Struthio camelus: one gene and its partner. The protein of the gene in region 1 purifies or fractionates together with the protein of each later gene. This does not show direct contact. Links are inferred from orthologs where the notes say so. Each region holds a gene or a part of one and is shown in the gene's direction. Other genes may lie near its edges.

Region 1 (7,950 bases):
CTCCCATTGTTATCTGTAATATACAGGGGATACTTCTGCAGCCAAACTAAGTTTTCTGCTTGCTAATGGGATGCACAGAAAGGAAAATAAAGTAGCAAGGGAAAAAAATATTAACTGCTCCTTCAGTATGTCTTTCATATTATTCAGGCTGATCTACTATTAAAAATCCTTGTAAATTTTCTTCCAATCAATGTACATTTGAATTACATGCAAAACAGTACTGGCAGAATGAAGTTTGTGCATAAATTATTTAAAATAGTTTAGTGTCTGCAAAAATATACTGAGATATAATCACTGTACTAACATCCACAAACAATTGTGTGGATTGACACAGTCACATTGATAAAATTAAGACAAATCTGATTCCTAAGGCACCTAAATTTTCTTTTTAATTGAACACTTGCTAAAAAAGGAGTATTTACAGTCTTAAGGACAACAATAATGAAGAATAAAAACATACTAATAACTAAGGACATGTGTTCGGTGAAACACTAGTTCTGATAAAGTCAGTAAGAGTTTTGCCACTATTGTCACCAGGACTACCATTTCCTCATTAATGCTTTTCAGTAAGGCTGATATTCTAACACAAACACATGATCAATCAAGTGTTTAAATAACTGATTCTAAGCAGCGCAGCCTCTAAATTTTATTAGTTGTCCTGCTGCAAGTATAATATATAGTGCTTCACAGCATTCTTTATCATAGTCTAAGCACTTTACAGAAGTAGATAATTACATTTATCTCTATTTTAAACATGTAGCGAACTGACAGAGAAAGTCAAAGTGACTTGACCAAGCTTCAGTGGCAAATCAGTAAAAAAAAAAACTGTAACATATCAGAAGTCAGACCTGATTGCCTGAGCTTTCTTCACAAATGTTTCAATGAAATACTTATACAAGGCCTACCTGCAGACAACTAGAACCCATTATAAATGTTTATCTAAAAAAAAAAAAAATCAGTTACATTTGACTAAATGACAGTGAAATAACATATTGGCAAACGTTCACAGATTATCCAATTAAAATGTTAATGATTACCTTTTCAGAAATTAAGTTAACTTTATTTTCCATGTCCAGGAATTTTTCAGCTTCTTGCTGCAAGAAACTATACTTTTTTTCCATATCAGCAAATTGACTTGTCTGCTGAAATAGGAACCTGCAAATTGTAAATAAATAAACAGTAAATAAATTATATAATTGGCATATATTAAGTGTTATAGGACCTGATTTCACAGGGATCTGTTAATGCAGGGATTTGCATTAATGAAATTTGCTAAATCAATATATGAGGGGAAAAAACAGGGTTTAAGGAAGTTTACTGGAGTTAACAGCTTCCAATCGAAACAGAAAAACAAGAAAACATTAGGAGGTGTGCCTCATTTTACATAGCATGCCTATCAAACAGTAAAAATGACAAAAATACTACTTACGCTCTTAGGCCATTAAATGCTTACAATGCATTGCCTCATAAGCAAGGTATGTTTTATTGAAAAGTATCATTTATCTGTTGGAATTAAAACACAACTAAATCAATTTGGACTCTTGCAAGGCATCACAAAATCATGTAAAGGAACTTTAGATTTAGAAAAGCTGGCTAGCTCTAATTTTGTTTAATTGTAACCATCCAAGAACCTATGGTGTGTTGTAGGAAAACGTGAATAGCTGTTGTTGTGATGATACTAGCTTTGTGAACAGATACCGATAGTGGAAATCTCAATCCTGCACTTCATATATATGATATATTTGTTAACTGTGACCGTGGTAGCTGAACTGTCAGCATTTTGTCCAGTTACAAAGGAAATGAGACAATAGAGCAAAAAACTGAATTTGATGGATGTTTATCAATCCCAAAACAAGGTATACTGCAGACCTAGGCAGACTATCCAAGGATCCTCTCAGATGAGAACAAATGCATCTAGAACAATACACTATTTAAAAATTTTACTTTACTTTTGGTTTTGTAATTTGATAGTTGTTTTTGTTTATTTTAATTGAAATGCAAGTAAAAGTTTCAAAAGATCTATAATACAGTCTGTACAGATTAAGCTATGCAGTAAAAGCTAAAACACTACCTATATATAGATAGATGCAAAACAAACGTAAATGGATTTGTAAAATAGATTAAGCAGAGGCATTACTAATCATTTTTTTCTACTATGACATTCTATTCCTCAAAAATTTACATAAAGAAATCTAGGTGATATTAAAATAAGTACGAATTTTGCCAAAACGTGGAGAGTGAAGTCAAGAGCGTAATAATCCGGTCTCATTTCTTGCACTAGAATTTAGAGAATTTCATCATAGCATTTCTGCATGAAGCTCATAGCTTCTGATGGAACTAAAATACCGATGACACTAAGATATTCTAGAACACCTTTTACAAGGATATTTGATCTTTACTTGGAAGACTCTACTCGATGAGCAATTTGCCACATTGCTAAGCAAAGTACTTACATAAAACCATACTTCATTTCTGCTGACGATTTATTTGTTCCCTGCCCACCGAGCCTTGCACTTTTTGTCAGATTAAGGTGCTCTTCACAGTTAGATGTAGTCTCCCAAGCAGGTATTTACAATTCATGAGCAAGGCGTCTTTTAAGCTTTTAGCAAGACAAAAGAGATCAAGCTTCTATAACCCCTCACTGTATGACAGGGTTTCCACACTTCTTGTGATTATCACTATTCTTTTCTTTACCCTTTCTAGCTTTAATATGTTCCTATGAAGTATATGCTCTTCACTCAAATGCTGTGTTCAAATATTACTAATCACATTGTCCATGACCGAACATAGCATAGAATACGAAAGAACGTGATGAAATCCACTACAGAGGATTACCTACCAGGTCAGTGCCAGGCAAACGGCAAGGGATATTAGGCTCAAGGCTGTCCGTGAGTCTATCCAAGAGGAAATCTGATTACTGCTAGTCCTGGGATTTACCAGCTTCCCACGATTACTGTCTTTCTTGGCCTTCTGTGAATCTTCATTGGTCTTGGAAGAAGAAATACCTCTTTTCCTCTGCTTAACCTCAGACATTTTGTGTCCTTAAGAAGCAGAAGCAAAAAAAGAGAGCTAGCAAAAAAAAAAAAAACCCAAACAAAATAGACCTCCACAACTAATTACTTGCAAGTGACAAGTGTTCCCAGATATAAACTTCCTCCATATAGTTACACGACCCTCCCAAATGTGTCCTTTGATGCTTACTATATAAAAATTCACACAGCTAGAAAACAAAGTGCTGGAATACCTTCATAACACTTTTTGTGAAAACTTTCATTTGTATACAATAGGGCTACAGCTTTCACATTTTCTGAACAGAGTGAACTGTCTGATTCTTCACTTAAGCTAATTTCACCTTTCCAGAAATATTTCAGCTACCTGTAGTGAAACAAGCCATTTTCAGAACATGTTTAAAATCGCAATGATTAAAAGAAAGACGAGCAATATGCCTTTTTTTATAGTTGTTGCTGATAACACTGTGATGATAATCAATTTCACTATCCTGCTTTACTCGTAGATTTTTGTAAATTATTGCCTACTGCACATTAAAGAGGAAAAGTGCATCTTATCCTTTTTAAATATGGGACTACAAATCAAGATTTAATTTACAAATAATTCTGTTTTAATGATTTCATATAAAAGCAATAATATAAAAATACAAAAATGAATGAAATAACGTATCTATATAAAAGACAAGTTATCACTTCCTCTCTGCTAGAAGTAAGGTCCCAATAGATTCAGGCAAGGAGTTAATAATCTCCACTTTCCAAGACTATCAAAGTGCATATTCAAAACAACCAGGTGAAAGTATAATGTGGAATTTCTAAGCCTAAAATCTTCCAGCACATGACACAAAATAAACTAGATACTTTGTGGATTTTTGGTTTAGAGCCATCTGAGACAAAAATATCACGCTTCTTTCTGGAACACTTTGCAGTATCGTAGCTTAGTTACATGTCAAAACATAAAGAGTGAACTATCAGAGATACTTACGCAGTTGCAAGCATGGGAAAAAGGCACTGTTTAAAATCCAAATCTGTCACAAGGGTATGAAGCTTGGAGCTGTTTGTGAGCAACAGTACTACGAAGTCTTCTTTGTCTGAAAGATTAAAAAAAAAAACACAAAACAACCTCTTGCTCACCAAAACAAAAAATGGCAAAAGAGATATTTTATAACTTTTAAAACACTTTTGGGCTCGAGAGCACGTAATTAGGAGATTAAAATCAAAAAGTGATCTGAAGGGCGCCAGGAGTTTAACACAAAAACAACTCAGCTTTCAAAAAGGCAAACTGCACAGTGCACCCCGGTGCGACACGAGAAAGAGCAGCTCGACACAGGAACACTCCTGTATCCCCCCCCCCCAAAGCCCTTCTCGCCCCCCAGTCCTGCTCAGTCCGCCGGGGCACGCTGAAAGCCGGCCCTCTCCACGCAGACGGTGGGCACCCACGGCCGCCTCGTCGTCTTCTTCCCCCCCCCCCCCGCCTCGCCACATCGCTCCGAGGAAACTTCCCCCACGCCGAGGGGCGCCGCCCGCCCGCCCCCCAACCCCCGCTGCCGGCGGCCGGGATGCCGCTCCAGCCTCCCCCGCCGACCCCCTTCTTCCTCCCACGGCCCCTATCGCTCCGGCAGCCCCGACGCCCCTCAGCCTGGGGCAGCGCCACACGGGGCGGGACGGCGCGGCAGCCCCACAGCTTCGTTCACGCGCCCGCACGCCCTTCCCCCGGCCCCCTACCTCTCGCGCGGGCCGCCGCTACCTCGGCCCGTTACAGCCGTTGGCAGCCGCCACCCCCCGGCCCGCCACGTCAGGCGCGCGCCCCTCCCCCGCCCTGCCGAGCGAGGGGCCCAGCCCTCCACAGCGGCGGTGGGAGGGGCGCTTCCCCCCGCCCCAGGCCCGGAAGGAGGAAGTGCTGGTGGGGGACGCCGCCTCCCGGCGCGAGGCGGGAGCCTGTTGCCGGTGGCTGCCGACGGCCGATCGGTAACCGACGTAACGGTCGGGGCAGTTCGCCCGCCTCGCCCGTTCGGGCCGCGGGGAAAGCTGCCTGGGCGCACCGGGACCGGGACTGGAACCGGGGCCGGGACTGGACTGGGCCGGGCCAGTCCGCGGCGGAGGAGGAGGAGGGCGGGCGGCCCGCCGCGGACGGCCCGTGGCCTGCGGGCCTTGGCGGCGGGCCTGTTGGTGACGGGAGCCTGGTGCGGGCGTTTCGGTTTCTGTTCCGTTCTGGGGAGGCGCCGGTGCCGGTGACTGCAGCGGGGAATCCTGGACGCCTTGCCTGGCTGCGAGGTAACGCCGAGGGTGTTTGCGGGGCCGGGGGGCGGCGGGGGGGAGGCGGTGTCTTTTAGCATTTGTTGTGTGTGTTGATCGAGGTACTTTAGCCCGCAGACCTTCCGACTGGGAGTAGCGGCGGCATTTCCGTGTGTCCTTCCCATGCGGTGCCTAGAAGGAGCTTGAAAGATGTTCTTATCCGCATAATTTTCGGTGAAAACAGGAAATTTCCTCTGTATGGCTAAAGAGGCGCTCCTTCACAGGCTTATCAAAAGGTTCTGCATCTACCTGCTTCCTAAATGAGAGGGAGAGAGGGAGGAAAGAAGAAAGTGAACACTTGGGCAGTTTCATAGTTGCTCTGTGGGGGCAACTTTCAATTGCATATGTAGTTTCTGGTGGTCACTCAGGAGTGCGAATGAAGAGACCATTTTGGGACTTTCATTGGCAATTGGCCAGCGCTGAAAAACCTCCGTGTGATAGAAAATAGCTTTCACCTTTTCTTGTCTTCACCACGTTATTTTATGAAATATAGGAAGAACACGGATTGATTCTCTGTTGCTGTGTGTCAGATGCTGCAGAAGGAAGGCCACTCATTGGCAGCGTTGGTGTTGGATTTGCTCATTTTCTGCAATGTGTCAGGCTCCTCCATCTGACTTTACCTGTATGGAGTGCCAGGGCTGGAGAAAACGGAGTTTTGTCTTGTGAAATTTGTTACACAGGGAGCTTATTTTCTGTTGCAGTGCTGTCAGCCACAAGCCTAGTCATCTTTCTCATCCTGTTCTCCCAATTACATCATCCAAGGACTTGAAAAATTTGAAGGATGCAGAGGGAGACAATGAGTATCTTTTTTAGTAGTATCTGGCAAGATCCTAATGTACAAGAAGCTTGTACAAACTGTGATTCTTTAGTTTTGCAAGTTTTCATAAAAATAACTTGGTACAAACCTGGAAAAGGACTCATGTTAATGCTTTCTTTTGCAAAAATTAGCAGTACTTCACTATTTCTTTTTTTAAACGAAAACTTTCATTCACTTAATGAGCACATGGTTTCACTGTGAGTCTAATTGTTAAAGAATGAAATGTTTTTATTCCTGCTTTGTATGCTCCTAAGAGGAACAGTCGGAGAGCTATTGTAGTTAGATTAAATATAATAATGCTCAACTGAACTTTTTTATTCAAACATAATATGTTTGAGTATATGGCATCTAAATAATACTTGAAGAACACTATTCATATTCACAGTAGCTTGTGAACTATTAACATGCCTTCATACTGTCCAGTCAAGCTGGATTAGTGAATCATAAGCCGTATGATAGAATTCATAGAAACATTTTCATGCTATTGTTGTATCAAGACAAAAGTGAAAAACGACTAAATATTTCGGCTTTCTGCAGTTTGTAGTATGAGCTTGCCTGAAGACTCACTGTACTTTCCACTAATATAGCTGCTCTGCTACTTTTTTGCCTTTTAAAAATCAGATTCGAAGTTATTTAAAAACTATTTTCTCTGTACTTTTAAATTGTGTTCTGGTTCCAGCTTGACTCTTTTTTTCCTTTCCACCCTGAAGAAACATGGATGTGAAGAGCAGAAATTACTTACTTCTGAATCGCCAAGCATTGGAAAAAGACATCAAGACCTCATACATTATGGATCATATGATTGCTGACCAAGTACTGACGTTACAGGAGGAGGAGAAAGTAAAACAACAGGTAGAATCATCTTTCACTGGTTTTTTTTGGTCCTAGAGGGCCCACGTGTGTTAACATCCTTTTTCTACATATTTATTTCAGTCTATATTACTCCTAGATTCAGCAGATTCTTCAAGCATATGCTTAGCATGCAATTATTATTAAGTTAAGTGCTTGGATGAAGTTGAGGCCTTTTTCTAGAATAATAAACACAGGGTGACAGAATAATGATTTATAAGCTCTTTTAGTTTTATATAACATCTTTTCTATTGTTTGTTCTAGAATACGCAGAAGGAGCGAGCAGCTATGCTAATAAACATTCTTCTTACAAAAGATAATAATTCATATAGATCTTTCTATAATGCACTGCTTCATGAAGGGTACAGAGATCTTGCTGCACTTCTTCAGGATGGCATCCCTGTCATCTCCTCTGGTAATGGAAAGAGTTCTATGGATGGAATGACTTCATATGGTCAGTATATCTATGGCAATCCTTGTGCTTAAAGTAAAGACAAGTTGTTGGTTTTTTTTTCCCCCCTTACTAAATGACTGACTAACCCCTGTTTTGATGAAAAAGGGGTAGTTGATGTATTCGTTTGCTTTGGTATTGTACTAGTCAATATTGTTGTATTTCATAGAATTAATATGGTGTGAGAGGATGATTATGTCTTACACAGGTCATTTTGAAAACGCTCCTCCTTAGTAACACTTACCTTAAAAAAACAGAAATCTGAACCCCTCACAATTTTATCTAAATCTCAACATTTTTGTTGTATGTGAAAGACTTTATGTGTGTATATATTCAAGAAGCTGACTCTAACATAAAAAGCTACAGTCTCTGAAATTCTGATATTCCCTTGTAGGTTAATCTGTAATCTCTCACCCCCCACATACCAACAGTAAATCTAGGTAATAGGTTGCTTAATACTCTCCAACAGATCTTTTAGTTACCCTGAATAAGTTCCTAAATTTTACATAAGTTTTCATCACTGTCATCTTTGA
Region 2 (7,170 bases), on another chromosome or scaffold:
TAGAGTCTCCATATTCTAAATCCACTGGACACAACCCTGGGCAAGCTGTTCTAGTTGATGCTTCTCTGAACCGGGGCAGCTGGACTGGACCATCTCCTGAGGTTCCTTCCAACCTCAATGATTCTGTGCTTCTACGAAATTTTTCACTCAGTAAGTCACAGCATTATAAGGTTGTGTGAGTGTTTCAGTTATCAAATATTTTGGCAACCTTCCAGCTGCCCACTGTGCTTTGCACCCTGCCTGAACTGGCTGGTCTCTCTTTACCTGTGCTACCTGTTTGCTGCCCTGAGGTGAGAAGTGTGCAATGTCCCACTTGAAATGTTAACATTCAATTGCACATGGCCCACTTACTTTTCTAATAGTTTACTGCAATGCCTGCAATAGTTTACAGGGTGTTGCCTCACCCTGTGCCTAACTGGAGCTGAGAACAACATCCTGCTTCCTCAATTTTCAGCCTCTCCCTCCTCCTGAAACCTCCTACAGTAGGAGGTTTCTTCCCTAGTTCCAGGCAGTTGCCTCCAAACTCACCCTACAAAACCACATGAACAGCAGATACAGGAAGAACTCTTGAGGTCCTCCTTCCTCTGCTAAGATCAAATCCTACAACTGACACACTGTACCCTAGGATGCAGAAAATATTTCTGTACCAAACTGCCCCAAGCATGTGATCTTCAAAGCACAGACAGGTGACAATACAACAATTCTTTTTAATTTGACAATAGCTTTTATCTTTTCACTGACGACAAATATGCATTGAATGCAATCCAAATATTCAGTTTAATATAGCTCTTTTCATTTATTAAAAAAAAAAACACAGAGATATCACAATGTTGGCTGAGACAAACGCAGAAAGCATAAATACAGTGCCACATGACATGACCACACACAGAGCTTAAAAATCCAACTAGGATTTGTTTGACAAAAATGCTACACAAAAGTGTATGTTATGGACAAATTTAGCTTTGCCTGAAGAAGGAGCCTAATATATGGTGACTCCAGAGTATCTCAGAGACTCTGCCTTTCCCGCTGTTCCAAAGAGTAGCATATTTATCTTCTCTAACACAGACTGTGCAAAACACAGCAAGTAGCAAAGATTTGAGAGACACCATTCATCAGCCATTTTCATCCGAGGACTCTTCAGTCTAACATGTCTTCTCTCTGTCTTCCTTACCTGTTCGGAGTATAGCTGAACAGCTTCCTGTCCTCTGTCCAAATACCCACTAAAAGAGATAATAAACATAAGACAATCAGTACCTTCCAAATTACAGGACTCGCACCCTAACAATGCTGAAAAGTGACCCTCAAAGCATAGGGTTCCAGCCCAGCCCAGCTGTATTCCTGAAAATCTATGGAGAACTACTCCTTCCTCCTATACAATTTCAAAAGACAATTAAAAACACGTGGTTCTCTGAACAGCCTCAGTACAATTCAGAAATGCTAATGGTGCAAATTCATCAGTACTGTTCTATGACTTGGTAAGATTTATGAGTCAGGGTATGGCAGTTTCTTAAAACCAGCATCCAGCACCGTGATTACAGACTAAATCACTGACACAACAACAGTTCTTACCACTGCACTGCTCCAGATTCATGCTTAGGTAACCCGCAAACGCATTAAGTCAAATCCTCTCCATTTGAGGTACCCGTTCTTACTGGTGAAAACTTATTTTCTAAATCAGCGTATGTTAGGCAGAACATCAGCTTCTACTGAACAATTTAAAAAGTATGCAATCCCGTGAATACTTTAATATCATTTATACCTGTCTAAAATGGTACTACATCAAAACCAGAGGCAGTCACTCTTAAAGTAGACATCTGAACAGTCAGGTATGAGGCAGAGAAGACTCTCTGCCTCTGTTCATTTTACAGGCTGATCTTTAGCATATTCACCTTTATGGCTGAAAGTCTCACAGATCTAGTATGTTCCCTGAGAACATTATTTTATTAAAGTTTACCAAAAATGGATTAAATTGTCTTGAATTAAGGCACAACTTTCAAAAATAGCTTTCCCAGAAAAATAAAAATAACATTGCTACAATGTCTCAACACGTGCCTCGGAAAGGTTAGCTGTAAAGCTCAACATGCAATGCTCCGCAGGAGCATACCTGCACTTGGAAGGCAAAACATACTAGAAATGAGAGTTACAAAGAGTCTGTGTTCTGTGAAGATAAGAAGGGGAGAACTTTTGAAAGAACGTCCGTGGGCTCCAGTCCACATCAAGTGCTCAAAGAAGCTTGCATCAGTCCTAATCAAGTGCTTAAAGAAGCTTAAGAATTATTGTCAATTCTTAAAGCAGCTTAGAAGGTGCTTTCAGCTCATTCCTCTTTTAAAGATAGAAGAAACCAGGGGTTTTATCCTAAGTGTTATGATATAAGTTTCATAAAGTTAGCTCCTAGAATCATATGAGACACTCAACCCTTACTTAAAAAATTAGTCTATAGCCCATACAATTGTGGTAAAAAGTCTAAAAACATAAGTCAAGCGCATCATGAATGCTCAAAATCAGATGGTGATTAAAATGAATAGAAATATACTTAGTTTTTACGCAACATCTCTTCAGCCAACCTCCTAATTTTGGGAGGTTGGCATGATTTGAATTTCGCGAAACAAAAGTCAAGATACCTATTTACAGTGGCTCAATTGCACATATATTACCTGGCTTGCCATAAAGTATATGAACTTAGCTATATATTAAAAGCAAAGTAGTTTTATTATAGTAAGTTTATAGTCAAGAAGATGATTATGTATATATGGTAATTGTTATAGCTTAGTATCATATTATGCATATACCTAGTGACGAAGTGTTAATAACTGGATGGACACATCTGTTTGATGCCGCAGACATGATAAGCAGTGCATAAAACATACACTCTCCAACTTATAAGGGACAATTGGCTGAATAATCTTATCAATTGCCAGCAAAATTTGACATCAGAAGAACCTTTGCTGTCTTTTTACCCTGTCCTTATTCCTTCATTCTTCACGTTGGCACTCCAGATAAGCTCTGCTCCACAACGTGGTAACAGCCATCCAGCTTTGTACATGATCACACATCAGTTCCAGCATAGCGCAAGAGCATGCAAAAAGATGTTACTCTCGTTCAAATGCCAGGCACTTCTGGGAAATTCTGTTACGCTGGCATTTTGTTTAATGTCAATAATTAGGGCAAATAGTTCACCTTTTGTGACGTTCTGCCTTTTGAACACTGGATATTACTACTACAGGAGGCTTTTTAAGAACTCTTCATCCTCTTTGTCAAGGACAGAAAGAAGATGGTGCTTACATCTGAAATTCAATATTCAAATCCTGTTTTAAATACTTGTAGTTTATTGATATAATTTTTTTCAAGCTTTACAACATTGTCCAACTTGCTGGGACAATGGGTCTGGGGCACCCTCCTCTTTTCTTAAGGTGGCACTTTCAATAACACTCTTAGCTTTTTCAAAACTCAAAGACTTTAGCATTCCACACGAGATCTAAGATACGGATGTGCTTTTGCCTCCTCCTCAGTTCTTTATGGTGGCACCTTCACTAACACGCTTATCTTTCTCAAGTTTGCGAGATTTTTAGCATCCTTTTGCTAACTGCGATATTTCTATCACTTTATTCTCCGGTTTCTCTTAAACAACTCTTTAAAATGCAACAGCCTCAAAGTAGGGGCTTAGCCCCTTGCTCGCCTTGACTTAAAAAAGAAACACGCCCGCACTCACGGTGATCGTCTCCTCAAGCTTTCGAAAGTGCCAGAACTTGAAACCCCCAGAGGCAACGGGCGGCAACGGCCGTCACAGCCGCGCCGGGGGAGGGGAGGGGCGGGGCTGGGCGCTCCCCCACCACGTCACGGTCGGGCCGGGCCGGGCCCCGCCCACCGCGCCGCCACGCGGCCTCCCGAGCCGCCCGCTAAGGTCGCAGCCTCCGCGGGGCGCCTCGTGACCCTTGCTTCGCATTCCCTTGTGCGCACGCGCCGGGGACCCGCCCCGCGCTCGTGCCTCCTGACGCTCCTTACGTATCAGCGTTACGTCTGATGCCCTTCCGCAAGGAGGAGGGGGGAGGGGGAGAGGGAAGGAGAAGGCAACCCGGCTCCCCCTCGCCGCAACCTACCCCGCTAGCCTCCAGCGCCGTGACGTCTATCTTGGCGGACGGGGGCGAGAGCCAATCAGAGGTCTCTAAGGCGGTCCTTGACTGGCTGCCGCGCTAAAACAGGGGCGGGCCGAGGCCGGCGTGGCTTGGTTGCAGCGACACCGGCTTACATAGGGCGGGGTACGGCGTGTCCTTGGGCTCAGTCGTCGGGACGGTGAGCGGGCGGTCGGGCTGGTGATCACCGCCGTGGGCGCGGCGCGGCGCGGCGCGGCGCGGGGCGGCCGGGCACGCAGGTGCGTGCAGCCGCCGGCGGGGGGCGGCGGGGAGCCGCTGCCAGCCAGCCAGCCAGCCAGCGGTTACCGTGGCTCGGCGGGACCGTTAGGCCCTGGGGGGGGGGGAAGGGGAGGGTTGGGCCGGGCCGGGCCGGGGCCGGGGCGCCCGCTGCCCACCTCCGTCGACCCAGGCGGAGGAGCCCGGCGTCGCGGCCTAAGCAGGCGGCCGGGCTGCGGCAAGAAGGTCACCGTGGGGCCTAGTGGCGAGGGCGTCCGTGTCCCGGGATGCCCTGGGGGGGCACCCGGGCCCGCTCGGGAGAGGTGGTCGCGCCGCCGGCCCCTTGCGCCCTTGCAGGGTGGCGGCGCCGGCCGCGGCCCTGGGGCCGTGTCAGGAGGAGAGGAGCAGCGCTCGCCGCGAGGCTGTGCCCGCGCGGCGGGCGGGCTGCCCGCCTCAAGGGCAGCCTCGGAATTGCGGTTGCCTTTGAGGGCTTGTATGCAAATAGCGTTGCTCCTGGCGGGTGCTGAGGAGGCATGCCGGCTCGTGGCGGGAGGCAGGCGGGCAAGTTGCTTGCCTGCCTCCCTTGGCTCCTTACTAGGTGGTGTGCTGGGTTCCTTTTCGAGCAGAAATGGAAAAATACACAGATCGTTAGTTTGTCCTTCTTACGAGTGTATCAGTGAGGATGATTTTTTTTATACAAGATTGTTCATGACTAGGGAACTGTCTTAATGGAGATATTGAAGCTATGTGACAGGAAGGGAAATAAATATTGCTGAAATAATTTCTGAAGGGTAGAGTGATATTAAATGCTGTAAAGCAATTACTTTGGGTGGGGGAAGGCTTTTCCTGCTGTTCAAGCATGATGTTTATCACCTTAAATATGTTCTGCTTAGTTCAGTGATTCTATGCTAATCTTCAAACCCAGGAAGTTTCTACCCAGAAACTCCAGACCCAGAAACCCTATCTGTGGGAAGAAACTCTGGAGATTAATGGGCTAGTGTATATGGTTTTGTAAACCAACAGGACCCTTTTAAGGCTTCTGTTAAATAGTTGACCTTGATGTTGTGACATTAACCTCTGTATATGTTCTCACCCTAGTACTGAAAATGGGAGATATTGAGAAGGGGAAGAAGATCTTTGTCCAGAAATGTTCCCAGTGCCATACAGTTGAAAAGGGAGGCAAGCACAAGACTGGACCCAACCTGAATGGCCTGTTTGGACGTAAGACTGGACAAGCTGAGGGCTTCTCTTACACAGATGCTAATAAGAATAAAGGTAAACTCAAAAGAGCACTTTTAAGTTACTTGGCACAAAAACAGCAAGCTTTCAGTGATAGGTCCGGAAGTCTGCCAAAAAGTAAAATACCATGGAGGACAAGAAAATAAATGTTGGGGGGGGAGGGATTTGTTTGCTTATTTTTTAAGGTCACTGTCTCTTTTTTTTCCTCCTTTTCGCTAGGAATCACCTGGGGTGAGGATACTCTGATGGAGTATTTGGAAAATCCAAAGAAGTACATCCCAGGAACAAAGATGATTTTTGCGGGTATTAAGAAGAAGTCTGAGAGAGCAGATTTAATAGCATATCTCAAAGATGCTACTTCTAAGTAAACTTTTATCTGCTGCCTTATTTATTTCACAAAGGAGATGGCAATGGAAATGTCTGTGATGGTTTTTAAACTTTCTATTTTTACATGTACTGTATCTAACCTTAAAATTTGCCTCACTCGCCAAATAATGTTGCTTGTGGTGGGTGGTTGGAATACATGCTTGTTTGGCAGCCATAACTTAAGGAAACCTTATGTAACTGGGTAGACATCAGTGAATACAATGTTCAGTCATTCTTGATCATGGAATTAAATGGAGGAAAAAAAATAAACATTTCCTGCCTCTTCATTGTAAAAAATATCAAGCGAGTCATTGCAAACAGCATAATAGCTTTGGCAGCCCACCTCTTCGTGGTTTAAAAAAAGTAGGGTGGGTTTTTGCATCCTTCCAAATGCATCATTTGTAACATTACCTGCAAGATAACAAAACGGTATTTTTCTAATCCTGACCAGTGCAATGTGTGGTTGTATACGTTCATCTGGCTAAAGCTTGGGATAAGAATGCAAGTTCATCTGACTTCATAAGTACTACCTGTGATATGGCAGTTGTACCAACCCACTTCTAGGGGAAGCATGTTGCCTGTTTATCCAGACTTTGAGAGCTGCATGCACCAGTAGAGCATAGACTATATCAGAAAAATTTTCAATTTTTGAAGTGTTGTTGAAACCCTTTGTTCAATAACTCTTCAGAACATACCTGTTCATAGCTTAATAAATGGAACAGAGAACTGTACTGTCCTGGAAAGATAAGTGCTGAACACTAAGCTGAATGTTACTAAATCTCACTTCAACAGGAGTGTTAACCTAAAATCTATTGTTACAAGCAAATTCTGCTGAAGGGGTGTAGGCAAGAATGCACTGGTAGACTAAAAGGAGGCTGTCTTCCTCTGTGTCTGTGCTTGCCTTGTGTCATTACTTTAGAAGGTTCTATTTCATGCAGTGTAAAATAGTGTGTTTTTAAAGTTCTAACTGCATCTTTTCATACTAAGTGAATTGTTAAGCTGAATGTATTTACTGTGTACCAGTGGCAAGGCCCAATTCAAAGAGTGATCAACATTGTAAATTAAAGAACTCAAAATCTTGTTTGCTGTATGTGTCTGAAATTTAGTGAGACAAAATGGGAGTGTAGAAAAAAGCTATATGTTTGGTTTCGGGTTTTACACCTGAAAAACACTTCTTACAAGAAAAGTAAAAGCTCAGCATGAAAAAAGTAAATGCTGA

Evidence for each region. The genes of interacting proteins can lie anywhere in the genome.
Region 2: the proteins of APAF1 (region 1) and CYCS purify together in Homo sapiens (affinity purification with western blotting; 3 studies listed by BioGRID and IntAct, with this or other methods). This does not show direct contact. The link is inferred for Struthio camelus from reciprocal best matches to the Homo sapiens genes APAF1 and CYCS.

What each region holds. Positions count from the first base shown.
Region 1 is NC_090942.1:53,371,086-53,379,035, forward strand, and holds the start of APAF1 (apoptotic protease-activating factor 1), read left to right. Parts: upstream 1-4,892; 5' UTR 4,893-5,279; intron 5,280-6,827; 5' UTR 6,828-6,831; coding exon 6,832-6,969; intron 6,970-7,230; coding exon 7,231-7,420; intron 7,421-7,950. UniProt on the Homo sapiens protein: Oligomeric Apaf-1 mediates the cytochrome c-dependent autocatalytic activation of pro-caspase-9 (Apaf-3), leading to the activation of caspase-3 and apoptosis. This activation requires ATP. Isoform 6 is less effective in inducing apoptosis.
Region 2 is NC_090943.1:38,123,331-38,130,500, reverse strand, and holds CYCS (cytochrome c), read left to right. Parts: upstream 1-4,125; 5' UTR 4,126-4,256; exon of another isoform or gene 4,257-4,369; intron 4,370-5,444; 5' UTR 5,445-5,452; coding exon 5,453-5,621; intron 5,622-5,804; coding exon 5,805-5,953; 3' UTR 5,954-7,032; downstream 7,033-7,170. UniProt on the Homo sapiens protein: Electron carrier protein. The oxidized form of the cytochrome c heme group can accept an electron from the heme group of the cytochrome c1 subunit of cytochrome reductase.